Kluyveromyces lactis: one gene and its partners. The protein of the gene in region 7 binds, or shares a complex with, the protein of the main gene of each other region. Links are inferred from orthologs where the notes say so. Each region holds a gene or a part of one and is shown on either strand. Other genes may lie near its edges. The genes, in order: RSM24, MRPS5, NAM9, MRPS17, MRP10, MRPS18 and MRP51.

What was found.
Region 1: MRP51 (region 7) and RSM24 share a complex: the UniProt entries of both Saccharomyces cerevisiae proteins name them as parts of the mitochondrial small ribosomal subunit. The link is inferred for Kluyveromyces lactis from reciprocal best matches to the Saccharomyces cerevisiae genes MRP51 and RSM24.
Region 2: MRP51 (region 7) and MRPS5 share a complex: the UniProt entries of both Saccharomyces cerevisiae proteins name them as parts of the mitochondrial small ribosomal subunit. The link is inferred for Kluyveromyces lactis from reciprocal best matches to the Saccharomyces cerevisiae genes MRP51 and MRPS5.
Region 3: MRP51 (region 7) and NAM9 share a complex: the UniProt entries of both Saccharomyces cerevisiae proteins name them as parts of the mitochondrial small ribosomal subunit. The link is inferred for Kluyveromyces lactis from reciprocal best matches to the Saccharomyces cerevisiae genes MRP51 and NAM9.
Region 4: MRP51 (region 7) and MRPS17 share a complex: the UniProt entries of both Saccharomyces cerevisiae proteins name them as parts of the mitochondrial small ribosomal subunit. The link is inferred for Kluyveromyces lactis from reciprocal best matches to the Saccharomyces cerevisiae genes MRP51 and MRPS17.
Region 5: MRP51 (region 7) and MRP10 share a complex: the UniProt entries of both Saccharomyces cerevisiae proteins name them as parts of the mitochondrial small ribosomal subunit. The link is inferred for Kluyveromyces lactis from reciprocal best matches to the Saccharomyces cerevisiae genes MRP51 and MRP10.
Region 6: MRP51 (region 7) and MRPS18 share a complex: the UniProt entries of both Saccharomyces cerevisiae proteins name them as parts of the mitochondrial small ribosomal subunit. The link is inferred for Kluyveromyces lactis from reciprocal best matches to the Saccharomyces cerevisiae genes MRP51 and MRPS18.

Annotation. Positions count from the first base shown.
Region 1 is NC_006040.1:1,521,922-1,526,267, reverse strand, and holds RSM24 (mitochondrial 37S ribosomal protein mS35), read left to right. Parts: upstream 1-1,866; coding exon 1,867-2,778; downstream 2,779-4,346. Other genes in the region: histone acetyltransferase NGG1, read right to left, coding at 1-1,518; HMO1 (Hmo1p), read right to left, coding at 3,433-4,125, 4,318-4,346. UniProt on the Saccharomyces cerevisiae protein: Component of the mitochondrial ribosome (mitoribosome), a dedicated translation machinery responsible for the synthesis of mitochondrial genome-encoded proteins, including at least some of the essential transmembrane subunits of the mitochondrial respiratory chain.
Region 2 is NC_006038.1:1,001,275-1,005,661, reverse strand, and holds MRPS5 (mitochondrial 37S ribosomal protein uS5m), read left to right. Parts: upstream 1-1,969; coding exon 1,970-2,854; downstream 2,855-4,387. Other genes in the region: cytochrome oxidase assembly protein SHY1, read left to right, coding at 3,235-4,347. UniProt on the Saccharomyces cerevisiae protein: Component of the mitochondrial ribosome (mitoribosome), a dedicated translation machinery responsible for the synthesis of mitochondrial genome-encoded proteins, including at least some of the essential transmembrane subunits of the mitochondrial respiratory chain.
Region 3 is NC_006037.1:1,005,743-1,010,692, reverse strand, and holds NAM9 (mitochondrial 37S ribosomal protein uS4m), read left to right. Parts: upstream 1-2,124; coding exon 2,125-3,573; downstream 3,574-4,950. Other genes in the region: peptidylprolyl isomerase FPR1, read left to right, coding at 1-226; EAF7 (Eaf7p), read right to left, coding at 525-1,733; SRV2 (adenylate cyclase-binding protein), read right to left, coding at 3,780-4,950. UniProt on the Saccharomyces cerevisiae protein: Component of the mitochondrial ribosome (mitoribosome), a dedicated translation machinery responsible for the synthesis of mitochondrial genome-encoded proteins, including at least some of the essential transmembrane subunits of the mitochondrial respiratory chain.
Region 4 is NC_006040.1:1,090,656-1,094,705, forward strand, and holds MRPS17 (mitochondrial 37S ribosomal protein uS17m), read left to right. Parts: upstream 1-1,815; coding exon 1,816-2,514; downstream 2,515-4,050. Other genes in the region: KLLA0_D12760g (uncharacterized protein), read right to left, coding at 1-1,254; putative rhomboid protease RBD2, read right to left, coding at 2,714-3,529. UniProt on the Saccharomyces cerevisiae protein: Component of the mitochondrial ribosome (mitoribosome), a dedicated translation machinery responsible for the synthesis of mitochondrial genome-encoded proteins, including at least some of the essential transmembrane subunits of the mitochondrial respiratory chain.
Region 5 is NC_006041.1:1,177,451-1,181,171, forward strand, and holds MRP10 (mitochondrial 37S ribosomal protein mS37), read left to right. Parts: upstream 1-1,999; coding exon 2,000-2,287; downstream 2,288-3,721. Other genes in the region: NPC2 (sterol transporter), read left to right, coding at 351-872; succinate dehydrogenase assembly factor SDH5, read left to right, coding at 1,189-1,680; FAD1 (FMN adenylyltransferase), read right to left, coding at 2,434-3,378; MTF2 (Mtf2p), read right to left, coding at 3,709-3,721. UniProt on the Saccharomyces cerevisiae protein: Component of the mitochondrial ribosome (mitoribosome), a dedicated translation machinery responsible for the synthesis of mitochondrial genome-encoded proteins, including at least some of the essential transmembrane subunits of the mitochondrial respiratory chain.
Region 6 is NC_006041.1:673,191-677,216, forward strand, and holds MRPS18 (mitochondrial 37S ribosomal protein YmS18), read left to right. Parts: upstream 1-1,819; coding exon 1,820-2,437; downstream 2,438-4,026. Other genes in the region: serine/threonine/tyrosine protein kinase MCK1, read right to left, coding at 1-597; RPL25 (60S ribosomal protein uL23), read left to right, coding at 3,216-3,228, 3,844-4,026. UniProt on the Saccharomyces cerevisiae protein: Component of the mitochondrial ribosome (mitoribosome), a dedicated translation machinery responsible for the synthesis of mitochondrial genome-encoded proteins, including at least some of the essential transmembrane subunits of the mitochondrial respiratory chain.
Region 7 is NC_006042.1:87,637-92,025, reverse strand, and holds MRP51 (mitochondrial 37S ribosomal protein bS1m), read left to right. Parts: upstream 1-1,815; coding exon 1,816-2,874; downstream 2,875-4,389. Other genes in the region: KLLA0_F01012g (uncharacterized protein), read left to right, coding at 1-1,254; imidazoleglycerol-phosphate dehydratase HIS3, read right to left, coding at 3,099-3,764; MRM1 (Mrm1p), read left to right, coding at 4,129-4,389. UniProt on the Saccharomyces cerevisiae protein: Component of the mitochondrial ribosome (mitoribosome), a dedicated translation machinery responsible for the synthesis of mitochondrial genome-encoded proteins, including at least some of the essential transmembrane subunits of the mitochondrial respiratory chain.

The DNA of each region.
Region 1 (4,346 bases), on a different chromosome or scaffold from region 7:
GAGCATCCTCTCCAATAACGGTAGAAGCATTGCCTTTCTTTTGGTATTCTTAGTAGTCACTTGACGTAGTGTACTCTGCAGCTCTCTTAGTTCAGCACTAATCTCATCATCTTCCCTTCCGGTCAACCAATCCGGGTCTTCACGTGTTTTTCCTTCTTCTCTCGGTAGATTCATATATATACCAACATACTTTAATTCCCTTTTCAAGCGTTCCTCAAAAGAAACATAATCAATATTGGAATTGTTTGCAATCGCTCCATGTTGTTTGAATATCCCGTATGACGAGGAGGATGATGGGGTAACATGTTCAAGCTCACTTACTGGTGTTGATACTGATGAATCGAGTGTGGGGTTTGTCGGTAATTCTTCCTTAGGAGCTATAATATCATCATCCTTCAGTATAGCACTCAAAAGCCTTGAGACTAGCGGGCCACAAGACACTTCTTCATTGTCAAGTACACCATCCGAAATGTCATTCCCTGATTTCTTAGGCAAGATACTAATAGGATCACTGATAGGTGGAGGAGTCAGATTCGCAATGTTTTGATTATTGTCTTCTTTCAACCACACGTCTGTGTATAGTGGTCCTAATTTAGGAATTGTGTATGGAGTCACTTCGGGGTCATAAGATTTCACAAACTGCAAATTTTGTGGCATGATGAATTTGTTTTGAAGGAATTTGATATCGTCATCATTGAATTCTCTGTAAAAGGCCTCGATGGATGAGAGAAAAGTATTAAACTGAATTTGGTTTGTGGGTTTAGGTTTCGAGAAATCCATATCAGGCAGCTCACCGGGTAGAAGTTCCTTTAAGTCATTTGTAGGATAGCTTACTACCCCGTATTTCTTTTTCAAATATTCCTCACCAGTAGCTTCAAGACCCTCCTCTTGAAACAAACCTAATCTCATTGCAGCAGCAGGTAACGTTTGAGATACTACAAATTCAGACTTGGGGTTTCTAATGTTAGGATCATTTTCCATTTTATCAATATCTAGCTTTGCTTTCTTTGATATGTGACCATCTGATGATAAAACTTCCGCTTCTTCAATAGTATCTTGTGGCCTTTTGTCTGTCTCCTCGTTCTCTTCTGTAATTGATCTTTTATCCGATACGACTTCGCTAGATTCATCAAGTTTTTTATTAATTGAATCATTTTCTGCGTTCTGGGCTGCAAGGTTTGTTGCAGCTTCTGCTTCCTCCTTCTCTTTTTGTTTCTCATCTTCGAGCCTTATTATATCTTCCCGCATTTCCTTGATTAGGTCTAAATTCTCTTGATCACTAGCTGCAATTTTCTCCAAACATTTTCCTAGATTTTCTAGTTGATCTTTAGTTGTTTGCAAAACCGGTTTCTCAGGAACCGACCTCACGTATTTACCGTTCAGTAAACCTATGTCATTCTCAAAAGTCAAGTCTAAAGACTTCAGCATCGAATTTAGAATATTCGACGGTTCATGTAGCCCAGCGTCATCTCTTTTCTGCTCTCTTATTCCTTTGCCTCTTCGCGTATTCCTTGACATAATATACCAGTGGTGTTTTACTGAGTGAAGATCTGGTTTAGCAATCTACTTGATTCCACCTTTGTCCACTGTTGACTATCGTTAAAAGATAGGCTGCTTTCCAGCTTTGGCAATATTAATGACTTTGTTCTGTTTGTTGCTTCGTTGTTTATCTTCCGTTACTTTGACAGATATTTTCATAGAAAATTTATTATCACGTGACCTCCGCCTTTTCTCTGCAAAAAATTTTCCAAGTTTACCAGAAATACCAATAATCCTCGATACAACACCAATCGGAACCAGAGAAAGCCAATTATATTCAAAGTGTTAAAAGGTCTGCGATAACGTAATCATCTTAGGCACTCAACAATGATTACTGGTGCTAGCGTGCAACGTACTGCATTCTTTTGTAGTAGACGTTTAAACTCCACCGTTACGAAAGAAGTTGCGACCATTTCCTCAACACTTTACAAGGATCCATCGAAATGGATCGGTTTGGATAGTAAAGATATCATAACGTTGCACAATGAAAGAAAGGCAAGACTAGGGCCCCTATATAAGCCTTGCGAAGAAGAGTTGAAAGCATTGTTACCCACTGCCGAAGCGTCTGGAATTCCAGCAAAACTTTTCAAAGAGTACTATCATAAGACACCTGAAGAAGTTGAGGCAGAAATGGGCATTGCAAGAGGTCTAGACGAGCATGTCAACTTGGATCAATATCAGTTTGATGATTTGCCATCACAATCACAAATTTTAGTTCATCAACATCGTGAACAACGTTTCTACAATCGTTTGGCAGCATTTGAACTTCCTTTACTTGCGCAGTATCGTCAAGAATATAAACGCCCTTCAACAAAGACTCATCCAGTAGCTTATCGTTATACAACATATCTTGGTGAAGAACATCCAAATTCTCGTAAGGTTGTCTTATCTGTGAAGACATCGGATCTCGGCTTGGAACAGAGGGAACTGCATAAGCTGCGTCTATTGGCAAAAACACGTTATGATTCTACTACAGATACTTTGAGAATGTCTTCTGATCGCTATGAAGAACCAGCTCAAAATGCAAAGTACTTAAACAGCATTCTTCTAGAATTACTCAAGGAGGCTAAAGATTTGAAAGACGACTTTGCTGATGTTCCTCTCGATAAAAGACATATCATCGCAAGACAATTGCGTAAGAAAAAGCGTGGGTACGAGTTCCCAGAAGAGTGGAAACGTCCACAAGATGCTCCAAGGAAAACAGTGGATCTTGTTGAGCTATTACACAAACAGCTTTGATCAACCTTTTAAAACACACAAAAACAACTGTAAATAGCCATATACGCACAAATTAATGACCAATTTAATTGTATAGCAACAGCCATCTATTCGTTAAAGGGTGAAAAGACAAACCTTACATATCTAAGATGATAGCTACTTCAACTGTAGATTTAGTTGATCAGCAATGCTAAATGAGATTCTTTCAAACTTGTCACCGAGTAATTCAAAGAAGTAAACTGACGGCGGAATATTTGAAGAAATTTGGCACTGCATAGATGCATTGTAGATAAGTTATACGTTGACTTGACATTAAAATATACCACTCATTATTTTGGCATAGTATTTGAACAACGTGTGTACGAAAATAAGGTCCATGTACTGAATTGCACGTAAGTGTTTTACAAATTAAAGGATCAAAGATTAATTTCAATTGGGAAAGAATAAAAATAAGTGAAGTGATATGAAAAATTTGAAACAATACCACAAAGAAAATCTTCAATTACTCCACAATGCTTCCTATAGCAGCTTGTGCTGTGAAGATCATCCCATACAGATTAAATGTATTATTCTTATATTTCTTGTATATTATTACACATTGTTACAACTATTTTTACAAAGAAAGAAAGAGTGTCATCATATATATGTATGAAGCATTATATAAATCCCAGCTCGTTAGTCCTTAGATTTGTCTTTTCCCTTATCCTTCTTCTTTTTCTTCTTTTTCTTTTCACTGGAAGCATCTTCATCATATGGTCTTTTTTCAATATGGGGCAAGCCGAAATCTTCGGCAGATTGCAAGTAATCAGGAAGTGGAACAGGGGCAGAATTTGGACCTTCATTTAATGTTAAGGTACCATTTTTCTTAGCTTCCAAGTATTTTTGTTTTTCCCTTTGATAATTTTCTAGTTCTGCGTTGTACGCTTGTTTCCATTTGTCTTTCTCAGAGTCTCCTAAGTCTTTCCACTTCTTTGAAATTTCTTGAGTGATTTCAGTCGAAGACAATGGTGGGAGACCAGCTCTTTGTCTTTCATCACGCAAAGCTTGACGAACATACGCAGAATATGCAAAGAAGACGGTAAGCGGTTTCTTTGGAGCATAAGGATCACGTGGAATCTTCTTCTTGACAACCTTTGCAGCTGCGTCAGTGGTGGGAATTTCCTTCTCATCTTCAATAGGGTTTGTTAGCTCAGTACTAATGGAATTCAATTGATTCGTAGAAGAAGTTAACTTCTGTAACGCCTCTGTCAAAATAGTAAAGGCCTCGATTCTTTCTTCTTCATCATCGCCGATCGAATGGTAGAAGTCAACTAAACATGATGCAGTTTGGTTAGCAGCTTTTGATAGCTCGAATAGAGAGGAAACTAACTGTTGATGTTTAGGATTATTGTTGTTAGTACAGCTGGTCGAGATGACGCCTCAAGCATCGATAGATATACAAAACACATCGTAAAACAGTTCACCTATGAATGAGGAGCATACATGGAAACTTACTGTTATGATATGTTCCATATTCAGCTGCGACACCGTGATTTACAGCTTCATATGATAGTAACGTACAGAGTCCTTCGCCGTTCTTAGTTTGATAC
Region 2 (4,387 bases), on a different chromosome or scaffold from region 7:
GATAGATGGGCTAACCGTTTTATGCACGAGGAGCGGCTGAACATTTCCGCCTGGCAAAAAATAAACTTCTTGACTTTACTTGATTGTTGAGCGTAACGCATATTAACATGTGCAGCACACATTGAATGTTTATAAAAAGGAGGTCAGGAGGACTGTTAAAGGATTTGATAGCAATTGTGTTCTCCCAAGTCTCATCCTAAAAATCTGACACCGTGAATTGCTACCCGACACACTATATGATAGTTTATGGGTACAGTAGAATTTACAATTTTGACCAATCAACCAAACTACGATCCCAGATCAATCATGAGTATGCTTTCGCATTGATAAAATTTAAACAGCGAAGAGCAGACAGCTTTGTTCAACGTCTGTTTGTCATTACAAAAAGTATATTCGCAACAAGTACTTCTCAAATCCGGCAGATAACACTGAAAAAAATACCTAGATAATAATATTCGGGTAACAATGAAAGTTTAAAGTGACGGAGAAGAGGAATGTGTAACGTTCTGGAATCGGAACGGTCATTTCTGGTATCTGTCGAGCATTTTATTTTTCATGCGAGGAAGAAGATCTGGCTAGAACCATTACTTCTTGTCAGAGAACGAAAACGCTGCATTAGAGAAAATATTAAGAGAATGCTACTGCACGTATTGGCAGGAAAAATAAGAGGAAAAGAAAACTTGCAAGGCCAGGTGGTTTCCTTTCTTACCATATGTATATCACTGCTGGGTAGCGTTAGTAAATGCATTAGTTTGTCAATCTACCTGCGGCATGGAATTTTCACATGACGCACAAGTAAATCACTATTGATGTCGCATTGCCACTAGGGATTGGTTCCAGAAAACATAACTTCTTCCGAATTGATTTCAGATTCTACCTCCATCCATGTGAACGAGTATTTCGTTCCAATATTTTTATATAAATTAACGAGTAACTTATATGGTAATCTTGTCAGATAAGTGGAGTTGATTTCATTTGGAAAGAGAACCAACAGGATTGGTATGTCTCATATGAATTTATTCTCGGACCAAAATTGAGAAAGAAAACATCTGCAGTTTTTCAAAAATTCAGGCATTTTGGGATTACTCTCTCTTCATGCAGGGCAAGACACCAGATCATCTTTATTCTATTGGTCTTCATGTTCCTGCATAACTAAATACTATTTGTATTTAGTTCATTATTTCCTGTAGATAAAGAATCTTTCTAAATGGGTTTTAAAACATAGTAAAATATATACCTAAAAGAAGAGTCTTCGTGATATGAATGTTTCATCTTTAAGGTACTGAAAGGATATGGTACTAATATTGATTCTAATGACAACAAAGCCCGTGTATAACATTGCCAGCTGAAACATGTTGCTCCACTATGTATCAGAAGAATATGTAGTGTTTTGAAAAAAGATCTTCTCTGGAAATTGTATATAGCGATACTAAACCACTAATATAGATGTTTTAGTGACCGGCTTTATTAAAGCAGGTAAGTCGTTGTTTAAGCGACAGAGCTCAATATTGGATGAAACAGACTCAGAAATGAAACAAAAAAACATGTTACCCGGATAGCATTCCATATGATAGTGTCATCTACCATGTAAGGGTAAAGATGCGTGGAACATACCTGAAACATACTCCATGTATCCTCCTTTGAACGTCTGAAGAAGATTTTAAAGATGTGCAACCACTGCTAATCTTACCATACCTTAGTGGGTGGATCTTCAGCTAAGAATTGTGAATTTCTAATCACATGATCAAGAATAATGCTCTCTCATTTGTAACGATTGATCGATTTTCAAAAATTAAAAAAATTTCAATAGTTAATACAGAATGGCAACATACTCAGACATATACACCAGAATAAGGTCTAATATAATTGACACCAGAAGTCTTTTGAAGCAGGTTTAGACAGGTCGAGGAGCAAAATTCAACATAGTGAGTTGCAGCGTCTTTCTCAATAACCCTGATCGTATTTGAGAATGTTCGTCCGTTGTTTCTCGAGCACTGCTCGTGTATTTCAACAAGACCTGTTGAAGAAATACTACTCTCCAGAACTACTCAAGTCTATTTCCTTAGCTGATAAAGTAATTCCTGACAATGTAGAGTTCAAACCACAGACAAATGTTGAATTCTCACCACCATATTTGGATAACTTTGCCACATTACATCCTTATTGGGATTATAAACCAAACTCTCCACATCTACATTCAAGCTCATCTTCGGTATTCGTTCAAGAGATGGAAAAGCATCCAGATTTGACTCCTCCTGTGGGTTCATACTTACAAACTGAAGGCAGATCAGATATACAAAACATTGCCAATAATATCCAACTACAGACGGGGTTCGATGCTCAACATATCGCCAGAAAACTAGTGATGAAACCATTGATCTTAAAGATGGTTTCTAATCAAACTGCAAAAGGTAAAATTCCATCCTTCTATTCTCTTGTGGTTGTTGGTGATAAGAATGGTATGGTAGGAATCGGTGAGGGTAAATCCCGTGAAGATATGGCAGAATCCATCAAGAAAGCTCATTGGGATGCAGTGAGGAACTTAAAAGAAGTGCCTAGATTTGAAAAAAGAACTATTTTTGAAGACATAGACTATAGATACCACGGTGTGAAACTATTCTTGAGAGCTGCTAAGCCAGGTTTCGGTCTAAGAGTCAATCACGTAATTTATGAAATTTGTGAATGTGCTGGTATCAAAGATTTAAGTGCAAAAGTTTACAAGAGTAGAAATATCATGAACATAGCCAAGGGTACTATAGACGCTATCACCAAGTCTCAAAAATCTATAGATGAAATTGCTCTAGGTAGAGGTAAGAAAATTGTGGATGTCAAGAAGGTATATTACTCTGCTTGATTTCAACCAACTCCATATTTAAATTACTTTCACTTTTTCTCCTATGAAGAAACTATCTGAACAACCTTCACATGATTCAATTACGACCTAGATGATCATTCTCATAAAACAATCAATACTCAGATCTACGTAACCTTGTACATATTAATATCCCCACAACGTCGGAGTTCCAAATTCTTCTTCACGTGACTTTTAGAATATTTCACACTTTTCTGATCTTTAAAAGATTGGAAAATGAAGATGATGAAAGCAGATGAGTAGTATATCTAATCGCGTATAAACATGATTAGAAAAGCTTTAACTTCTTTGCTGTTACTAATTGTTCAAACGCATTTCAATTCTTAGCGGAAGCTACTAGTATCACACAATTAGCAAAGCATATGTTTCGCTTCATTGTGGCTAGGCCATTCACTGTACCAAAGGTAAGGCCGGTAAGACGACTTTATAGCACGGTCAGGACATCGACTGTTGACTGGAAACCTATCAAAACAAAGAAGACACCTACTGAAGGATTTCAAAAGAAGGAATCACGATGGGGTAAGCGTATTTTTCTAGGACTGATGATTGCCATGCCCGTGATCTCGTTCTACTTAGGAACCTGGCAATTAAGAAGATTGAAATGGAAAACCAATCTAATTGCTTCCTGCGAAGACAAATTAACCTACGATCCTATTCCGTTACCTAAAACGTTTACACCGGATATGTGCGAAGACTGGGAATACCGCAAGTGTACTATGACCGGTAGATTCTTGCATGATGAAGAGATTTTTGTCGGCCCCCGTGTTAGAGGAGGGATCAAGGGGTACGTTTTATATACGCCTTTCATCAGAAAGGATACGGGAGAAAGAATTTTGATTGAACGTGGTTGGATCTCGGAGGAGAAAATCGTTCCATCATCTCGTAACTTGCAACATTTGTCTTTACCTCAAGGCGATAACGTGACAATTACAGTGTTAGTGCGTGCAGCTAAAGATTTGACATCAATGCAATGGAAGAAGGAAGACAGGGAGAGTAGATTGTGGCAAGTCTTGGATATTAAGGATATGACAGAGATGACACATACTTCTCCTATTCATTACCAAGCTCTTTACGATCTGAAAGATCACCATTGGGATGAAGAATCAAAATCTGAGGGTATCGATAACAAAAACCAATCATCTTGGAAATTCTGGTCTAAAAAGAAAACCGAAACAGAACCACAACAAGAAGAATCCGAGAAACCACACGTCAACACGAAGAAAGTAAATACAGCAGATTCGGAGACAGGATTGGAATTTAACGAGTTCCAATTCGTTAAAGCGGGAGTGCCTATTGGTAAAGCACCAAAGATTGATTTGAAGAATAATCATTTACAATATTTAATTACTTGGTATGGGTTATCTCTGCTTTCATCTATCTTCCTTATCATTGCACTAAGACGTGGTCGTGGTTCCGCTATGTCACAGGATGAAATAAAGAGGCAAAAGCTAAAACATGCCAAGAAGTTCATGTGATAAAGAAACACATATTGATATTCTCAGGAATTTCTATCTC
Region 3 (4,950 bases), on a different chromosome or scaffold from region 7:
TCAAAAGTTTGATTCTTCCGTTGATAGAGGTTCTCCATTCCAATGTAACATTGGTGTAGGTCAAGTTATCAAGGGTTGGGATGCTGCTATTCCAAAGTTGTCCGTTGGTGAAAAGGCAAGACTAACTATCCCAGGCCCATACGCTTATGGTCCACGTGGTTTCCCAGGTTTGATCCCACCAAATGCTACTTTAGTCTTTGATGTTGAATTGTTGAAGATTAACTAGATGTATAATGTCATTCTTCTGAATAAAACACATACTATTAATTTCCTTCACATTTTTTCTTTGGTTTCTCCCTTGATTCCTTCCAATTGGTCCCATCCATTATTATTATTATAGCTTTACATCTTTCCGTACCTTCTCATCAACCTTTCAACATGGGAATTGCTATCAAATTGTAGCCGTAGTGTTTGTATGCTTCCATTTTAACATTCAATTTTTGTACATCAACGAAATGCCTATAATATAAACCATTAGCTATATTATGTTGTTATTGCATTATTGAAAAAACAATCAAGAACAACTACTTCCTGCTTCTAAGCCTGCTCGAGAGCCTTGTAGTTGGTTTTGTTATGGATTTTCTTCTTGTTCTCCTAGCTGGAGAATCCACGTCGGCAAGATCTTCAGGAACTTCCTCCGCAGCGGCAACTTTTTGTTTCTTAGGGCGCGGCTGTTGAGATGATTCCGTTTCGTTCTCTTCTGCTTTCCCTGTCGGCGAATTAGCTGATTCCTTGGCAGCACCTTCAGATTCATCAGCAAATGTGACTTGTTTTGTAGCTGTAGTATCTGCGGCATCAGCAGTCGATTCTTTTTCGCTACCAGATCTCCCTTCTGTATCGTGTTCGACATCTTCCTTTTCATCGGTGTTTCCGCCATGGGGTTGGTCTTCTTTGTTTTCACTTTCGTCATCAATGCCTCGCTTTTGTGAACGTGTCAACCTTGTAGAGCGTCTTGTCCTTGGTTTCTTATGAGCATCGACAGGTTCATCGACAGGTTCATTCGCCAGTTCGCTCACAGATTCTCCAACACTGACTGGCGGAGTGGTCGCCATTTCTTGTTTCGCCTGTACATTATTTTGCTCAGTATCCTTTTCATCGATATCCTTTTCTCGTTCCCGTGGCTCTTCTGACTCTTGTTCTACTTGCGTATCCTGTGATTCCGCACCCTTCAGTTTTGCCTTGTCATCCGCAGAAGCGGTCTCCTCTTGCTTAATATCTTCCACCTCATGATCCCTAGCATGTTCTAACATAAGTTCTCCATAATCTTCCCACGATAGTTCAAATTCCGTCTCTTGCTGGAGTCTATTTTGTAATGGTATTATATTTCTCTTAAGCTCGTCACAATTGTCAACATCATTGTCACTGTCATCATCATTATCTAGTTGAGCGTCCCCTTCTGTCTTTTTGTTTGTAGTTTCGGTTGGTCCGTCATCATTATAAAATTCAGGGTATGGCTGGTTCTCTACTTCATCTGCCTTCTCTAAATTATAGTACCGACTCAATTGTTCCCAAACGTCCTCCCCAGAAAACACTTTATCTGAGCTGCCTTTATCGCTTTGCAAAAGTTTGATTGGATACTGATCTGGCTTGTTCAATCGCTCAAGCAAACACACCATATGGAAGTGTTTATGTATTCCTGCAGGTTTGAACAGCATCATCCATTTAAACAGCCTTATTTCCTCCACTTTACTCCATGTTTGCCCTCTAGGTGATTCTATCTTTACAGCGGACATCGCAGTGAACCGTATCGTATTACTTTTATCTGAAGTATCACAACCTTATACACCAAAAGAACGTTCTTGCAATTGATATAATAAAGTTCCTATCAAGATCGCTGATAAAGCAGATCGTATGAGGCTTGATACCATCTTCGCCAGTCCATCTCAATATGGTTCTATGGTGTTTCTCATCTTTCTAAACTATGAATGCTAATATTTGATATCATATGTCACGAAATTCCTCTAAAAATTTTTCAATATCGGAAAGCTTCAAGCATTAGATAGCGTTTGATTGAAAAATATTATGCAGGTAGTTCGGATATGCAATGTATTTCCATTTCGAAGAGTCCGTAAGCAGTCAATTCTGGTTAGTTTTGTCAATACATTGTGAAGAAAAAGACCAGCAATGCCTAGGAAAGCTGTACTTCTGAACTCTTTGTCCAGAGGGAAGGTTCGTACCTCTTTTAACAAGTACAATTTGTTCAACTTGTATAAGAAATCTCAGGTCAGTTTTAGATCGAAAACACTATACCAACAGAAATGGACTTCTAAACAGGAAACTCGTGCCTACCATGGCGAACATTTAACAGAGAGTAGGTGGCAGTCTGTTTTCGAGCCTCAGCTAAACTCTGTGGCTCAATTAGATGCTTCTCTAAGGGGTGGTGATATCGAACCGACGCCCATTCTATTACAAACATACGCTGTACTAGAGAAAAGGCTAGACTTTGCTTTGTTTAGAGCTATGTTTGCCTCGTCAGTGAGACAAGCTCGTCAGTTTATTTTACATGGCAACGTCCATGTGAATGGTGTAAAGATTACTTCTCCGGGATATGCCTTGAAAGCTGGTGATGTTTTCAACGTCAGACCCGAAAAAGTGCTACAAGCTCTTGGTGCCAAGAAACCTAGCTTGAAGGAAGCTTTGAAAGTGGATAATACCCAAATTTTCCTATGGAACAAATATATTCTAGAGGCTAGAAAGAATCCTAGAAAGTTCTGGGATGAAAAGATCGAAAAACTAAGAACTATGGATAGTAACGATCCAAAGAAACAGGAATTTTTATCCTTCCTCGAAAACTACAACAAAACCATGCACATTCAAATGAGGAAAGAATTAGACCAAACCAGTAACGAGTATTTGTTAGCTAAGATCTTTTCTACCGTTAACCGCGTTAACGATGTAGAAAAATTGGCAGTAAAAGATTTCTTGGGCGAATTTTACAATAACGAAAATTTGGCAGCTAAAGGATTCGAAATTTATAGAGAAGTCAAGTCTGCCAAGGCTGTGGAAACGATAGCAGGGAAGCCTTTGGCTGAAATTCCTAATGAACAAGGTGAATTGCTAAAGGTGGCTACAGGAATAACTAAACCTGTTGATAACACAAACGATGCCTTAAAGAAAAAATTCAGAGCCATCAATCATACTATAGTTGATTTGAGACATTTCTATGAAACCGTGGTCAGAGAACATTATAATGACAAGATGGCATCCGTTGATTCTGTTGATATTCCATACGATGCTAAGTGGGCTGAAAAGTTACCATTGCATCAAAAGATCAATGTTCCTGAACTATTGGAAAACGAACCAGCTGCTCAAAAAGCTATCAATTTACCATGGCAAAAGGGTGTGTTTGGTCGTAACGATCCATCTAAACCATATTTCACTCCGTGGAAACCAAGACCCTTCTTAGCACCATTCGCCATTCTACCACACCATTTGGAAATATCATTCAAGACATGTCATGCGGTCTACTTAAGAGACCCTGTTGCACGTCCAGGTCAATCTGAAGTTATTACTCCATTCGGCTTACCTGTACATGAACGTTCATACATGTACTATGTGAGAAGGGGTAAATAAGTTGACGAAAACAAATACACACGAAAGAATGGATACACTGTGACTATGACAATTTAAAAAGAATGGTGTATCTTGGAAACCTTGTACATATTATTATCATTATTTTATCGTATCATATTATATTAATTATATATATATATTTATATGTTCTAATGAGTAAAGAATAAACTAACACCCAGTAACGAGAAGATATACTATTCAGATATTCAACCAGCATGTTCGTAAATCTTGGTTTGTAGTTTACCTTCGACGAAAGTGTGTATCATCTGTTCTGGAAGTGGAACTTCAACGAAGTCACCATCGGGACCAGTTGGAGTGTTGATGTTAATACCAGTGCTAGAAGAGGTGAAAATTTGAGCCTGTAAAGAGTTTTTACTCAAATAAATGGAGCCGCTATCAGACGCGTCGATGGTGATTTGTGGCAGGGTGTTTTCCACTTGAATACCAAATCTCAAACATTTAATAATATCCACACCACTGATGGAAGAATCTAGCACTAAACTGCATTTTTCTGTTTCATTGACAGTAACTGCGTTGACCTTACCTTTGATTTGTACCAATGTGTTGACACATTTACCGATGAAAACAGATTCGTCAATTTTAGTTTCGATCACTAACGGTTCGGCTTCATCTTCATAATTTTCAATAAACCATTTATTACCGATCAATTCCTTTCTTGGAGGCTTCTTAGTCTTCAGAGTAGATGGTTTCTTTGGTTTAGGTGGAGGAACAGCTTTGTCAGAAACCTTCCCTGAGGCACGAAGTTCTGGGTTCTTATGTGTTTGCTGAGACTTTTCTACTTTCTTTAAGGATTTAGTGATGTTTTCACCTTGGTTTAACTCAGCAAACACAGCACCGATTCCACCAGATTCTTGTTCTTTTGATTGTTCATTGACTTCGAATACGGAAGCCGGAGGAGGTGGAGGTGGAGGTGGAGGAGCTCCGGCGCCTGAACTATGCGGCTCACTGGAAGTAGCACCAGAAGAAGAAGCTCCGGATCCCTCGTTGGAAACTCTTTCGTATACGGTTTCGAAATCCTCACCAGTAGTGTCGTTCCAAGTCACACCTGTGGTATGGTATTCCTTAACGTACAGCTTCAAGCTATCGAAAACGGACAAAAATTGTTGGACCCATTCAACGGATTTAGGATCAGTGCTTCTGAATTCTTTCAAGATTCTATTTGTCCAAAACTGGGCAGCGTCCTTGAAATCAGTGATAGTAGACACAGGTGTAGATCCAGCAATCCATGAGAACAGTGGTGATCCCTCAGAGATAGCATTCAAATGAGCGAAATACTTACTGTTACGGTTCTCCTCTTTCAACTCACCAATAGAGAAGATGTTCTCGTTAATTGGGGTCAAACCTTTCACGAATGCA
Region 4 (4,050 bases), on a different chromosome or scaffold from region 7:
GGAGACAAGGACTCCGGATTTCTTTGGATGCCATTGTACTTGGTTAACAGGTCCAATGTGGCCCTCGAGGGTAAGCAATGGGGTTCCAGGGTATCTCATGTCTAGTACGATGATGGCGTTACTGTCCTGTGCGACGGTGACGATGACGTTTGGATCGAAAGGATTTGGTTCGAGGCGCACCAACGCGTTGGAGTGTGGTTCTGGGTCCATTTGGTCTACTGTATCCTGGGAATTGCCATGTGGTATGAGTGTGCTAGTGCCCGAGGTACCTGATGTACCTGATGCGGAAGTGTTGGCAGTACCGCTGGCACTGCCAGCGGTACTGCCAGTATTTGCAGTAACTTTCGTGGTTGCGTTTTTGTTTGGACCATCTGCTGCTGCTGCTCCACCACCGCTGGAGCCGCGTGAAGTCTCGTTCCCGTGATCGTACACGATGGTACTGTGTGCCAGTGATCTGAGGTCAAACACTCTGACGGATCCATCACCACCGCAGCTGGCAAACAACTGCGTCGATTGTGCCAAGAATTTCACGTCGAACACTTCGCTATCATGTGCAATCAATTGCGTCTTTACGTAGTTGGTAGAGTTCGAAAGATCCCATACGGTACACGTCGTGTCGATGCTACACGATAATAGTAGGTTAGGGGAGATGGGACTCCAATGGAACGATGTGACGGGTGGGAGTTGGCCCAACGTGACAGTATCCTTTTGAGACGCAGAACTAGGGTGTTTCCCGTATTTGTATAAAGAAAGGTTGATCTGTTCCTGTAAACTGCCATCCAACGACCATATCCTTAGGGAATCCGAGCATGTTGCTAGTCTTGTATTGTTTTGAGGCATCCATTGGATCCTGGATATAGGATAAACCACGTTAGCAACGTTGGTACATTCCCATGTAGAATAATCGTTCGATCCGTTGATGATCTCTATTCTATTGTAGGAATCTTCCTTATATGTCCCCAGGGCACATTGATCGTTCTGATTCCAAGAAAGCGCGAAAAGTGGAGCGCTGGACTGGTACTGACATGTCGTTACCGTTTTTAGCTTGTCCAATGTATAGTTACTATTCCCACTCCCCAGTCCCAACTGTTGCTGTTGCTGCTGTTGCTGCCCATGTTGTAACTGTTGAGAATGGCCTTGGTTTGGTCGCTGGTAGAAATTAACTCCGTTGTTCCCTACATTGTCTAACAGGTTCAGTTGCCTTTGATAGCTTCCAAATGAGATACTGGACCTTTTACTATTTCGATAATCCATGATTAATGGCTAGTTTTCCTTGAAAAATCTTTGAAATAGAAATCCTCTGTAATTTAAATGTATATCGCAGTGTTTTGATTGGTCTTTCTGGTATCGTAGACCCCTTCAAACCCCTTCTCTCGGTTAGTTTCGATATTTAAGGTCATGTGAAGATTCTAAAACAGACCAATCCTTTAATTTTTATGGCCAGAATGTTAAGCCGTTTGCCATTCTCAAGAGCAACAGGAACATGAAAAAGGGACATTTAGCGTCCCACATTGCCTTATAACATTCTAATCTACCCACGGACGTTTCAAACTGGGCCAAGTGTGCTAAGAAGTAGTTTAGTTCTATAAAACCCAAGACTAACCTCATACCTCCATATTCTTGGTGAAGAACTAAATCACGTGATCTATCATTAGAAACGGTGGTGATCTTTCCAACATCAAAAAATTTTAAAGCCTTGAGGCCATGAACGGTTAGGTCGATGCTGTTAAAAGAACAATAGAGCAGTCTAGTTAGCTCTGTGTCAATTGGTTCGTCGATACCACTATCCAAGAATAAATTAGCCCACCTTCAACCATGGCTCGTCAAAATTTTATTGGGATGGTCATCTCCCAAGGGAAGATGCAGAAGACTGTGAAAGTTCGTGTTGAGACCAAAGTTTTCGATAAGAGAATCAACAAAGAGTTGTTCCATAGGAAGGATTATTTGGTTCATGATGAATCTGAGGTTTCTCGTGAAGGGGATTTAGTACGTATTGAAGCTACGAGACCTTTGTCCAAGAGAAAGTTTTTTTCCGTTGCTGAAATTATCAGAAATAAAGGTCAACAATTTGCTTTATTCCAAGAACAGGCCAAGATCAACGTTGCCAGCGAGGAAAACGAGAAGACTAAGGCCTTTTTAGAAAGGAGAGAACGTAAACAGGGTGTGGAATCGACACTTTTGAATGATGTTCGTGTATTACAGAAGGCTTATACAGATGGTACCGAGGATTCTGCCGCAGTTAAAGAGATTAAGAGCCGTTACGGAATTGATAAGTTTAGTCCGGAATCCTTGAAGCAAATATTACAGTTGGATATTCTCAAGATTGAAACCCAAGTGAAACAACAGCAGCAGAAGATCGATGCTATTACAGAAAAATTGGCAGAGTATACCAAGAACGAATCCTTGGCTAATGAATTTTTACTATCGAAAGGTTTGGAGAATCCTCAACTGTTGAAGAAGAATATCAAGAAGAACATCTTGAGAAAGCACATACTCGAGGAACTCAACGTATGAGAGAAAAAGAGGAATGACAGAAAATAATTAAAAAGGATGTTTCCCTATGTATATAGAATGAATATAATTCTCCCCGCCGCATCGAAGTAACACGCATGTAAATATAATTATCAATATTTCAAAAGTTGGGTTTGAAGAAAAAGAAGAAGAACAGCAGATGATTTAAATCTCTAGTATCTAATTTCTGAGGATTCACATTTCAATTTCCCAAGACTCTTCCGTTTCCTTGAAATGTGGGCTCCGCTGGAGTATCCGTATTATGCAAGGGCAATCTGGATTCTGACCCCAGGTAAACGGAAGTATATTCAAGTGATCTGTCCACTTCAACTTCCCTATAGTACTTAATACCGAATGGGATCAGATTGATCAATGGATCGACCCATGTTTCAATTTTCTTCAATACAAAGCTTGGTGGAGTAATCTTGGCTACCCAATTCTCTTTCAACCCCATGAAGTATCCTAATAGTAACCCAATTGCATGACCTGGTAGACTAGAACCAGGCGCCAATAGAGCAGTAACGAATAGTAATGCTACTGGGAAGTATAATGTTGGGAATGAAAAAGTACTGGTGATCATCACTGAGTTACGAACTCGGGATTCTTTCACAGCAAAGTATCCCAAGAAAGAGAAGAACCAACCACTTGCACCACCGATCTCGACATTGGGGAATAGCAAAGAACCGATTAAACAGTATGGGATTGCAGTAAATACGGCTAATAGATTCAATATGACACCAGTGTAAAGAGTTCCATGGGATTCCTCGAACATCACAATCATAGAGAAAGTCGAGATGACATTGAAGAACAAATGGAAAAATGAGAGATGAGCCAACGGGTACAACGAGATTCTGTTCAAATCAAACTTGAATAGTGAATCAGGCTTTAGCAGAAGGTGTTCATTGATAGGGTATACCAGATTGTTCACTAAGAACAATGCAGTTAAAAAGATACTGAGTCCTACTGCCAAACCGGATAAAGGTTTCCCGGCTGGAACGAAAAATTGCTTGATATTCATCAACTTAGTAATATCAGGATACCAGTATTTTCCTTGCTGATGAGGACCGGAAGATGCAGCTGTGTGGAATTCCCTGAAATGATTGAGATGAGATGAGATGAGATGAGATCTGTTGCTAAGTTTCAAGTGTCGTTGATATTTTCCATTATCAAAAGGATAAAGTGGTATAGTCACGTGACTTATGACTTCTGCCTTGTGACTGCCAAGATATAGGAACTAGGATGCTTGAGTACTAGTTTCTTAAGGAGTATTAAGTTACTAGCTAGGCTAAGCGCACGAGGATTTCTTTTTGCACTAGTCTGTCATTTTATATTCTCAACTGTGTTATAACATTCCGTTTGGGTATTTCATGATTTAATGTCCAGATCGGTTCATATTTGATAGGATTTAGAAACAGTACATAAACTATCCAAGAATCTACCCAGCAATGACAACCCAATGGCCTGAAGGCCATTTGAATTATCATATCAGTAGGTGTAATCAGGACGTAATCATTATTGCAGCTAATCGAAATCTGTTTG
Region 5 (3,721 bases), on a different chromosome or scaffold from region 7:
ATCGTATTTCAGCCGCTCGTTGTTCACCCCTTATCCTTTAGACCTTATCTGAGACTTCGAGATGAGAAAGTCACAATTTTAAAGGTTTGTTGGAATTCGAAACATTTTGTTTACATCACGCATGGGAAACAACAAAAAGGAAAGGGAAAGAAAGATAAAGCAAGAGCAACAGTTCAGCCTTTACAAGTTATATACCTGCTCATAGACCAATTCAAGATCTTTAAGATATCTACAAGGACTCACTAAGGCCTCTCGTTATTATATCAAGTCCTGAAACCTTCATAAACAAAAAAAAGAAAAGCTAAAGCAAACTCCCCTTATCTCTAAAACACCCTGATTGAACCACCAAGATGCGTTTTTCTGTTGTAACCAGTTACTTATTATGCGCTGCTGCATCGTACGCTAATGCAGCTTCTTTATTCGGATTAAGTTTCCCAGAACCACCATCAGCGAACAAACCGATCCCTGGTGACTCTCCTTTATTGCAATGTGATGTTGACCAATCTCAATCGCTTGATGTTACTCAAGTAAACTTGGTCCCCAACCCACCACAAAGAGGTGAGAATTTGACTATAGCTGCTGCAGGTGTCCTACAAACCACTATCGAAGAAGGTGCATACATCGACATCGAAGTTAGATTAGGTTACATCAAGTTAATCTCACAAACCTACGATTTGTGTGAACAATTGGAGGAGAACGACATCGACGGATTGAAATGTCCAATCGAGGAAGGTGTCTACGAGTTGAACAAGATCGTGGAGATCCCTAGCGAGGTGCCACCTGGCAAATACTCTGTCATTGCTAGAGCTTACAACGTCGACGATGAACAGATCACGTGCCTAACTGGTGAAGTAATCTTCCCAGCGTACTAGACACACCTGTCACAAAGGCTACCTGTCTCTCACTGACCTTACCCAGTGTGAGCCAAGTATAAGGTCTCCTCCTATAGCGACGTTGCAAAGCTGTGGAGTTCTAGGTCCATGTACACGTGACCGAACCGATTACGGCACCTTTTTACCCGTCTTGCTATATATAATATTAATTGAATCACAATTTGAATTGGTTGATCTCTCTCCTCCGTTACCCCAGGTTAGGAAGAGGTCCTAATTTGTATTACATATATCTAGTATACCCTCCTCTATACTATCCCTACCTGTCCAGTCAACAAACGACCACTGTCATCTAATAATGCTAAGAACTGTCTTCAACAAACCATCAGTGTTGAAATCTGGAGTTAACTCGATTACAAAGCAATGCCGTTCTCTTCACGCAAATGCTTACTTGTTGAACAAGGGCAACAGCAACGGTGCTGAGGGCCAAGATGACGATGTCACGGTGAGAATCAGAATCCCACCTATCAAGAGAACCGGCGAGTCTCTAGACAAGAAGCGTGCTAGATTAATTTATCAGTCCAGAAAGAGAGGTATTCTGGAAACAGACTTACTTTTGTCACGTTTTGCTGCTAAGTATTTAAAGGAAATGACCCCAGAACAACTAGAAGAGTACGACCAGTTGTTGAACGAACTAGATTGGGATATCTACTACTGGGCCACAGAAAACTATTCCATTACACCTCTTCCTGACAGATGGAAGAACTCCAATATTCTAAAACAATTGCAAGAGTTCAGTAAGAACAAGGATCGTGAAATCCTAAGCATGCCTGATCTTTCCAAATACTGAACATCAGCGGTATACGTACTTGCCAATTAAGCAACAGTATAGTCTATAGCTCTTATTTTATACCCATATGCTCTCTCTCCCTCTGTCGCGGCAGCTCATCATTTCCAGGGCAGGCCCAAGTGAAAAATTTAACCCGTACACCGCATACTTAGATCCAACATTGGCGAAAGTCTCAAAAATTTTGTTAAGATCATAAAGAATGATATCGTTTATATGATGGAAAATATCATAAATGTAGTCGCGTAGTCCGTTCTAGAGGTCTTGTAAGGTCGTGTTGCGAAGGGTACGTCCAAGATATCAAGTGTTCATATATTAAAGCATGTCCAGTAAGACTCCTCTTTATAAATTACCACCTCTTCCCAGACTTAAGGTGAAAAAGCCAATTATTCAACAAGAGGCTAACAGATGCTTGGTATTGATGTCCAATCTATTACAATGCTGGTCTTCTAACGGACACATGTACGGTGCATGTGAGACATTGGCCCAAGATTTGAAGGCATGTACCGCGGAAAATGCCTTAGGTAAGAACCAAAAAGTCCAGAAGAGTAATATCAACTATCATGCTGCTAGATTGTACGATAGAGTTGGTGGAAAATCTCATGATTAGAAAGAAGCAGACAGACTTTCTCCCCCTTCGTTATCACTTGTACATAATACCATTTTCTAATATTACATATATCATCTAAAATCAAGGAATTCACGATTTATTAAATATGATAGAGATTTTTGTAGCTATTTGTGAGTGGATTCATCTCAAACTTTTCTGGCGAGTCTGCCAGCTCTTTCCCACTCGTCTTTCGTTAGATACCATCCCGGATGGAACTCAGATGAATCATGCTGTTTGATGGTATTAAGGTCATTCTCGTTAATTTCGTTACAATGCATGTTAGAATCTCCTCTGTAATTGTTTTCAATTTCCCATTGGAAATCGCTATGTTCAGTCTCGGCCTTTGTCATGGAGCCTATAGGTTCTGGTATCCGTAGGTATGGATTTCTCAATGTGTTGTTTACACTGCCCAATGAAGTGAATCCCATCTCATATAATCCGCATACTTCTTCTCCCGAATACAATAGGAAACTCCATATCTGTGAGAGATTCCAATGTAGCAACGGTTGCAACCTGTAGAACTGGGGCCAACTGGGGTCCGTCTTTTGAATTGGTTGCAACGTCTCCCCAAATGGATCTGTGTGTCTAATGCCGATTACTATTGCCTGAGTCTCTGGATGTACCGATAAGAACGACTTGAAGGCACTTGGCATATCGACCTGTTTATCCTTCGCTGATTCGTATAACGATAAGTGATATCGCTCCACGCTCCGTTGTAAGAAATCTTGTGCCGTAAGAAAGGTATCCTCTTGATCAATGTATACAGTGGGTAGTTGCTGCAACGGGAACATGTGGAACTGGAGATCGTACTGTGATCCCTGTATTGACATGAGGAAAAATTCCCATAGACATCCCAGATATATGATTAGCAACACTTGACAATCCTTGCCACCGTTGTATGAAAATGATATCTCGCCATTGAACGGATCCCATCTAGTGAATATATCCTGCAGAAGGTACCGTCTACTCAGCTGTATCGATTCTTGAGTCTGTTTTATTACATCTCCGGTTGTGGCTACGGCAGATTCGGCATCGATCGATAAATACGACTGAACGATGTTGTAACAGTTCAGGGCAACGTCTTGCAACATTGCAGAAAACGTATCTGTATTATCGGTTCACACTATCTGATCTTTAGCGAAGTCCTAGACTTCTGCATTTACGGTAAATTGAATCAAAGTATATTGTAGTTGTGTCAAGAAGGTTTATAAAACCTCGAATTGCCTTTGAACGATTTTCATCACATAAGCCAAGAAGATTGAAAAGAGGTACAAAACAAAACCATTCCGTTTACCATCCGAATGATACCGCTCGTGACTTTATGTATTCACCATCAGCTACATTTATAGGTGTATTATCTATATTATCTTAATTATTTACATTGTTAGCTTGTTGTAGTTGGTCTGGCAAATCTGTTTTCCTTACCTCATCAAC
Region 6 (4,026 bases), on a different chromosome or scaffold from region 7:
AGCTCTATAATATCTTGAACAGATGTAACTAATCGATGGTTGGTTCGATTCTAACTTTTTCGCTGATCCAAAATCACAAATCTTCAATATACCCGTTTGTGGATCAACCAAGACGTTTGAAGGTTTTATGTCTCTATGGCATATTCCTAGTGCATGTAGGTAAAGCATACCTCTAGCAATTTGGTAGGCGTATAGTTTAACGTGCTTCAACGGTAACTCCAAGTTATTCTTCTTATATCGTAAAATTTCGTTTTGTAGCATTTCGGGCAAGCATTCCATCGCCAAATGTTGGTATAATTTATGATCTGTTGGTGAGATATGAGTGTAGAAATATTCCAATTTGACAACATTTGGATGGTCCGCAATTCGTAAAATCTCTAACTCTCTAGATTTATACTCAGTCTGAGCAGGAACCTTCTTAATGGCAAAAGGACCCAACCACTTCTGATTATCCGGTGTTAGGTAAGCTTGCACCACCGTGCCAAATGCACCTTGCCCAATTCGCTTATATTCCTTTACGAGCATTTCTCGCTTGACATTGGATTTATTACTGATGACATCATGAGCCACGTATTCATCTAATCTTTGCATAGACATGGCGAATCGCAATAAGGGGAAAGAAGACAGATAGTAACAGATACAAAAGCGATGCGATATCTATCGAATAAGAAAAAAATTACCACTTTTTGTTCGTTGTATTTCGCTCAAGTCTTCAAATTACAAACTTCAACCGTTATTTTGCAAGCAAACCTTAGAATATAGATATGTTCCTAACGGATGTAACGTGGATGGTTCAGGAAAAAAAGGGAAATATTGAATTGTAATGAATCAATAAAATCTGTATTAAATGAATTGATGAAATGAAATCGCTAATATTAATAAAAGCAACACAACAGGGGGAAAACACTCTTACTCAAGCAAGTCAATTAGTCCCTTGCAACAAGTGATGCAGCAGTGTCTATAATGTTTCTTCGCAGTAAATTCTTCGCGCTGCAATCGCTCGGCAAATTCAACAACTAGAAGTTCCCAGAACTTAAACGTTTGAGCACCCTTAGCAGTGTTGTGTCCGTTATCAGAGACCCTATTTGTTACTTTGAAACAAGGTTCTGGTTTATTTTTTGTTTGTTTTTTCCTAATTTCCTAAAACTAAAATTGATTTTCATATTCGGTTTTCCAAGAATCTGATATCAATATGACTGACTGACTACTGACTGAGTTACACAATTATTGATAAAAGCGATATAAAAGACGTTCTAATTGAGGGAACGTTCCAAACAAAATTTAATTCTAAGATCTCCCAGAGCCAGCTTTTATGAAGTTCGACTCTGAGAGTACTACACTCTCTCTAGATATGAATGCACAAACGAAGTTAAATTGGCATTTATAGCATTAATGAGGAATTACTCAGGTTCAGGTCCTATATCCTCCACCTGAACTTTCTCTTGATTGTAGCATCAAGTTGTAGAAATGGTTTGGGGAATGCGAGGTGATCTTCGCCAGTCTGCATATAATATTTCTATCAAATGTTTACCCCATCGCATCTCGGCACTCTTTATCAACGTGATATCTTCCGCCAGTGGACTGCAGGCACTTCACATTAAAGGCTAATCCTTATACACCGGGTAATGACAAGTTAGTCACGTGTTAATGCAACACCGGGTAATGGTTTATGAGCATATCTTGAAAATGAATTGGGAAAACAGAAGATATTTAGAGTTTGCATTTCATAGAGGAATACTATTCGTCTGAGTATGGAGACCTGCATTCGAGAAAGACACAGGTTGTGGTTAATATAAATCGGCGTCGAAAATACACCACGATGCTGAGAACATTAGTGAGACTGTTCAGCTCAACGGCCAGGACAAACCAAGATGTGGCTTCCATCTTATTTTCATCTGTCAAAGGATCAGAAAAGGCTCCAGTGATGGAAGACACCAATGTTGTCCAACCTAATACTCTTCGTGGTAGCAATAAGAAAGGGAGAGTCGATGAAGCAGTGATAAAATATATATTGAACTGCAGATTCACTAAGAACAATACACATTTCACATACAGTGCCGTAATGGAGGATAGAAACTTTTTGGCGAACAATCCACAATTATCCTACAACGAAAAATATCTATACTATTTGAAACTCCCACAACAGGTCAAATTTCATTTATCTACTGGTCATTTAGGGTTCCGTAAAGCTGCCCGTGGTGAATATGAAGCCTCATTCCAAACAGCAACTAAGTTATTTGAAACTCTTTATCAGAAGAAGCTACTGGATAAGAATATAGAAATTGTTATGAGAGACTTCGGTAAGGGAAGAGATGCTTTCATCAGTGCATTGAACGGTAAGGAAGGAAACCTCATCAGACGTCACATATCTAGAGTAGCCGATGCTACTGAATTGAAATTCGGTGGTGTGAAGGCCCCAAGACCAAGAAGATTGTGATTCGGTCTCTCACCATTTCATCTTTCACTAATAGTCTCTGTGTATAGACATGAATTTGGAAAATAATTCGGTATAATAACAAATAATGCATGTATATAAATTTAACGTAACGCACCAGAATTTTCGTTTAAATACATTAAGACAGCAATTCGAAGTATGATTTCACACAATTATGACATTGCTCATGCCTTATAATCTCTGGATGCTAATTTCATCGAAGATTTAAAATTTTCCGGAAAGTAGCGGGACTGTTTTGTGGATGCACGGATTTGGCTTTAGATTTTTTGTAAAAATTGTTAGGTATTTTAGTATTCCATTTTAGGTAATTAAAATTTCAATTGGAGGTTCTAAAAAAAGGAAAGGCAGAGGAGGCGTTCCGGCTGCCAGGTTCTCACCGTTCTCCTTCTGTCGCTCCGTTCGAGTCTAGTCTTCCCAGCGAGAGGACTCTGATTCTGCCCACTCTCCCCTCTACTCGCACTGACATTCTGAGGTGCGTAGGCAGGAACTGCTGTCCATCCAGCCTATCATCCATTCCTTCCCTGAGCCTGGAGCCATATCCTGTACCTGCAAATCACAGTGCGATTGTGCTACCTGGCCAGGGATACCCTGTTCGTGCTGAATATTCCTTTCGACTACGGACAGTTTCGCTTGCGACCTTGTATCTGTATTGTTTCATCAAAAGTAATATTGAACGTTTTAAAGAATATTTCAATATCATTCGGTATTAGAGTACACTTGATTAGCATTCAAAGAGGCCGCACACAACCAAGACACAAAAATGGCTCCATCTAGTATGTTACTGAGATGCGCAACTGAAAGCTACATGCTGATAATGGTGGGATAACGACTTACCGCGGGCTGAACAAGTGAGAATGAAGATATTACCTTGAGAGTGTAATTACACACCTGTGGGAGCAAACGAATGGTAGAATAAGTACGCTAATGAGAAACCAACAATACGATCTGAATAATTGTACATGATATTACCTATGTGTGAACCTGTCATGAAAGCGGATGAACATCAAATGAAACGATGAACACAAACACGCTGCAATGAGAACATAAAGTACGAGTTATCAGCCTTTTAAATGATGGTTAAACAACTACTATTTCGATTAGATCCTTAAATTGGAATACTTTATCATGATACGTCGAAAAGTTACGATGCGTAGTTATACGGTTCATCGGTGTTTATGAGTTAAGTTTTTTGAAAACATGTTAAAAGGCCCACTCGACGCTTTCCCTGTACCGTTCAGAGCATAAAATACACCTTACATTTAATACACTTAAAGTCAATTCTCTAGTTTTACAGAAGAAAATCATGCCGTTATCGAACTAGTTATCCTTCAATCAACATTTAAATCCAGTTTTACTAACAAAATTTCCTATTATTATTTTTTCCACAGCTAAGGCTACTGCTGCTAAGAAGGCTGTTGTTAAGGGTACCAATGGTAAGAAGGCTTTGAAGGTCAGAACCTCTGCTTCCTTCAGATTGCCAAAGACCTTGAAGTTGGCTAGATCTCCAAAGTACGCTACCAAGGCTGTCCCACACTACAACAGATTGGACTCTTACAAAGTCATCGAACAAC
Region 7 (4,389 bases):
TGTGTCGCTTCTATGACTATCAACTTTTGGAACGAAAATATCAATCCTTCTATCGTTGTTGCATTATGTTATTCCTTGGTATGCGGGGTGAATTTCTTTGGTGCAAGGTGTTATGCGGACGCTGATTGCATTTTCAACTGTTTGAAAGTGCTTATGATCCTTGGGTTCATAATTTTAGGTATTTTCGTTAACACTGGTGTTGTCGGCACTAGCGGATATTTGGGTTTCAAATATTTCCATAGTCCAGGGTTCTTTAGAAACGATGAGGGGCTTTTCAAGTCAATTGCTGCAACGTTGATAACTGCCTGCTTTAGTACCGGTGGTACCGAGTTTGTCGCCTTGAGTTGTGCTGAACAGAATACAGAAGACATGCCAAGAAGTATTAAAAGGGCGTCAATACAAGTTGTTGTACGAATTGCCATCATTTTTTGCGTTTCTTTGATGATTATTGGATTATTAGTGCCCTTTAATTCCCCATATTTGATGGGGTCTGGATCAGAACTGACCCATGCATCTCCATATGTGGTCGCATTAACAACCAATGGTGTTAGGATAATACCTCATATTGTTAATGCAATTATTCTATTGTCTATTATTTCTGTCGCAAACAATGCGATGTATAGTAGCTCAAGAACATTACATTCCTTAGCTGAACAAGGATTTGCGATGAAATATTTTTGTAAATTGGATGAAAGTGGTAAGCCGTTTAGATGTCTTTGCGTTTCAGCATTTACTGGTTTATTTTCATTCATAGCCGAATATAAGGACCAGGAAACAGTCTTCGTTTGGTTATTGTCAATCAGCGGTCTTTCCACTATCTTTACTTGGAGTATGACCTGTGTGTCTCATTTGAGATTCAGAAAGGCAATGAAAGATCAAGATCAAGCTTTAGACCAATTAGGATATCAATCACCATGTGGTGTATATGGCAGTTACATCTCGTTGTTTATTTGTGCCATTATTTTGATAGTACAATTTTGGGTATCATTGTTTCCTTTAGAATCCAACGGTAGGCTGAATGTCGTCTCATTCCTTCAAAATTATATGGCTGTTCCAATTACCATCGTACTTTACCTTGGTCATAAAGCTTACACAGGGAACTGGAAACCTTTTATTAGAGCACCTGAGATTGACATTCAGACCGATCGTGACATCTACTGTGTTGATGAGGTTACTGGAAAAAAATCAGTTTTTGTTGAGCTTCTGGATAGCGGAGACATGTGCTCGAAACTATCTGATAACCTTGTCAAGTAGTACAAACATTTCTACGAAACTGAGGTTCTCATACAGTATCGACTAAACCAAGGAACTGTTGATATGAAATTATTACGAAAAAATGAATAGTTTTCTGTAGTAAACAATATAATAAATAATGCAATTGAAAAAAAAATTTAAACTCAACACCGATTTCTGATTATGGGAAACCCCTCATAGAAGACTTATGTTATACTGGTGCTGATCTCGTTTTAAATATTAGCATCACTTAAGAAACCATTCTTCCTTTAAAATGAGTACTAAATGTGACACTTTCATCAATGGTCTGTCGCAAGTCCGGGTAAAATGTTACGTTTCTAATGATAAAAAAATTTCGATATCATTGAATAGCATTCAATTCGATAAATCTTAAACACAGCTCAGCTACTGATTTTGACTGAAGAGCTAAATTAGTTCCTATCGTCGACTATTGTGACAAGGTTCCAAAACTATCAGCAATTCGTTGAATAGATAATTCACTTTTTGGGTTTAAACTGGGCTGTTAGTCCTTAGCTTGAAGACAGATATACTTACTGAATTCACAATTCGAAATAGAAAGCTATGTCCCATATATCTAATTTGTTAAAAAATTCCAGGATAGCACAAGTGGCAAAGACGGACAAGCCATTGTTTCGTCCAGGTAACTCTTCTCATCCAACTCATCAAGTGATTGAGACCAAGCCATCCTCCTTATATCGTCAGGAATGGGGTTTGAAGGCAAGCATTCCATCGAAAATCAAGACCAGATATTTGGTTTACAACGATTTGGACACCCAACAAAGACTAACGACTTTTGAACCAATGGGTCAATACCAGTGGAACAGAATCAGATTCCAAGAAATGGGGTTAGCCCCTCGTTACGTTGAAGAAGAATCCAATCCTCTATTCAATGGGAAAACCAAGAGGGCCGGAAAATACGCGCCATTCAGCAATGCTGTGAACATTGCTCATAACACTGCGCCTTCTGAAAAGACAAGAAAGTTGAAAGAAATTGACCAACACAGATCAGAATTCAAGAAGTGGCTGTTAGAGAAACACCCGGATTCCATTGCTGGTGTTAGAAATGAAAACACCAGACCTTTGAAGGCTTTAGCTACTGAATTCTTACATGAAAAGATGGGAAAGTTGAATATTAATACAGCAGCTAACTCGGAGTGGCACATTGTGGGCACCGGTGGTCTAACTTACAACTTGAAAGGTAGACTTAGACAATCTCCAAATGGTGTAAAACAAAAGCACGTTGTGCCAGGCAGAGTTTTATCTGTCCAGGGACCTGATCGCGCAGTCGCTGTTGGTGGTTTCATCGCTGAAGCTAAATCTGTGGGCCGTAATCCTCGTGCTCTACAATACAACATGGGTGATTTTGTCAGACAAGAAGTTTTACCATTTGCCATTGAAGATCCAAAGGTAGAAGGGGGTAATGTAACATTGTCTGCATCTTTAGTAGAACCAAGAAATGACTTCAGTTTTGCTCAGAAGATCGGCTTAGGTCAAAGCAGATCACATTATACCAGATCCGATTCCAGAAACTCTTCAAGAAAAACTGTAAGATCTGTCACCGCCGAAGAATCTAGATCTCAAAGTGAAGAGTTCCTAAACTTATTAAAGACAACCATGTAAGTTGATATATGGTAGGTATTACACAACCATAGCTAGAAGTCACTTGTAAATAAAACGTAATAAATACAGTCATGTTACGCGGAAGACGGAGCTGTGCGTCAAGCGGTTAAGGGCCGTGCTCGTAACTTAAATGGAACAAAATGGATGAATATATATTTGATGTAAACTTAAAATGAATGTCGCGCATATGCAATGAGAGTCCACTCCTTTCTTGAAAAGGAATTTTACATTAGAACACCCTTAGTAGAAGGAACGTCGTTGGTTCCGTTGCTTGAAATAGCCTCTTTGATTGCAATGGCAAGTGCTTTGAATGCAGATTCACTTCTGTGATGGTCGTTAAAGCCTCTCAAACAATCAACGTGCAAAGTTATTCTCGCGGCTTCAGCAAAGGACTCCAAGAAATGAGGTATCATCTCGCATGAAAGGTCACCGATCTTTTCCCTCTTCAACCCCAACTCTATTACTGCGTATGGTCTATTGGATAGATCCACAACAGCACGTGATAAAGCTTCGTCTAATGGTGCATATCCTGAACCAAATCTTTTCACACCACGAACATGACCCAAAGCTTCCTTAAAGGCTTGGCCAAGAGCAATACCACAATCCTCGGTGGTATGATGGTCATCGATATGCAAATCTCCAATACATTCAACAATCAAAGACCAGCCTGAATGCTTCGCAAGAGCATGAATCATGTGATCTAAAAACCCAACGCCTGTCTGAATATCAATGATTTGGGATCCAGTTACCTGCTTAGCAGCATCGGATTCCTCCCTTTGTAAAATAGAGTTCTCAATAGAAATTGGTCCACCATTCAATGAAATGGCAATTTGAATCTTGGTTTCATTCGTTATTCTAGAAACAAAAGCTTTTCTTTCCGGATAAGTCATTTTTGGTTGACAGTTCTTTCTCGAGGAATTCTTACAAAATGTGCCAAATATGAACGATGGTAGCAACTTTTAGGCTTCTTATAAGTACACAAACTAATGTTGAGGCCAGTTACTTTCTTTCTTCTTCCAATATACCTTTACGCTTCTGTCAATCTACTACGATAAAGAAATGAATCATCTTCTGGAATATTTTACAAATAAAGAAAAGCTTGAAACTTGACTTTCTGAAATTTTTCAGATTAAGCTATTTGATAACAAAAAATTGCCGAGATGAGATGAGCTGAGAGGCATGGAATAAAAGATACATTATCTGTTAACAAGAGCATAGCAGACTCAAATAAAGTAAAACCATTGGTAGTATAGCATGCTCAGAAACATCACAAGAAGTTATTCGAACAAGATTCGTTCTGCGGTCAAAGTGCCTAACGAATCGTATATTAAGGACAGAAAAGTAACGTTCGATCGGAACTTTCCAGTGCATAAGAGGACTAAGGCTTGGGAGAAAGATGGAATGGATAAAGATAAATGGTTCAGGAAAAATTACGCACATGTTCATGCAAGAGAAAAAAATGCAAGGCTGAATAACGGAGGAAGTGACCCATTCGATAAGAAGAAAAAGTATTAC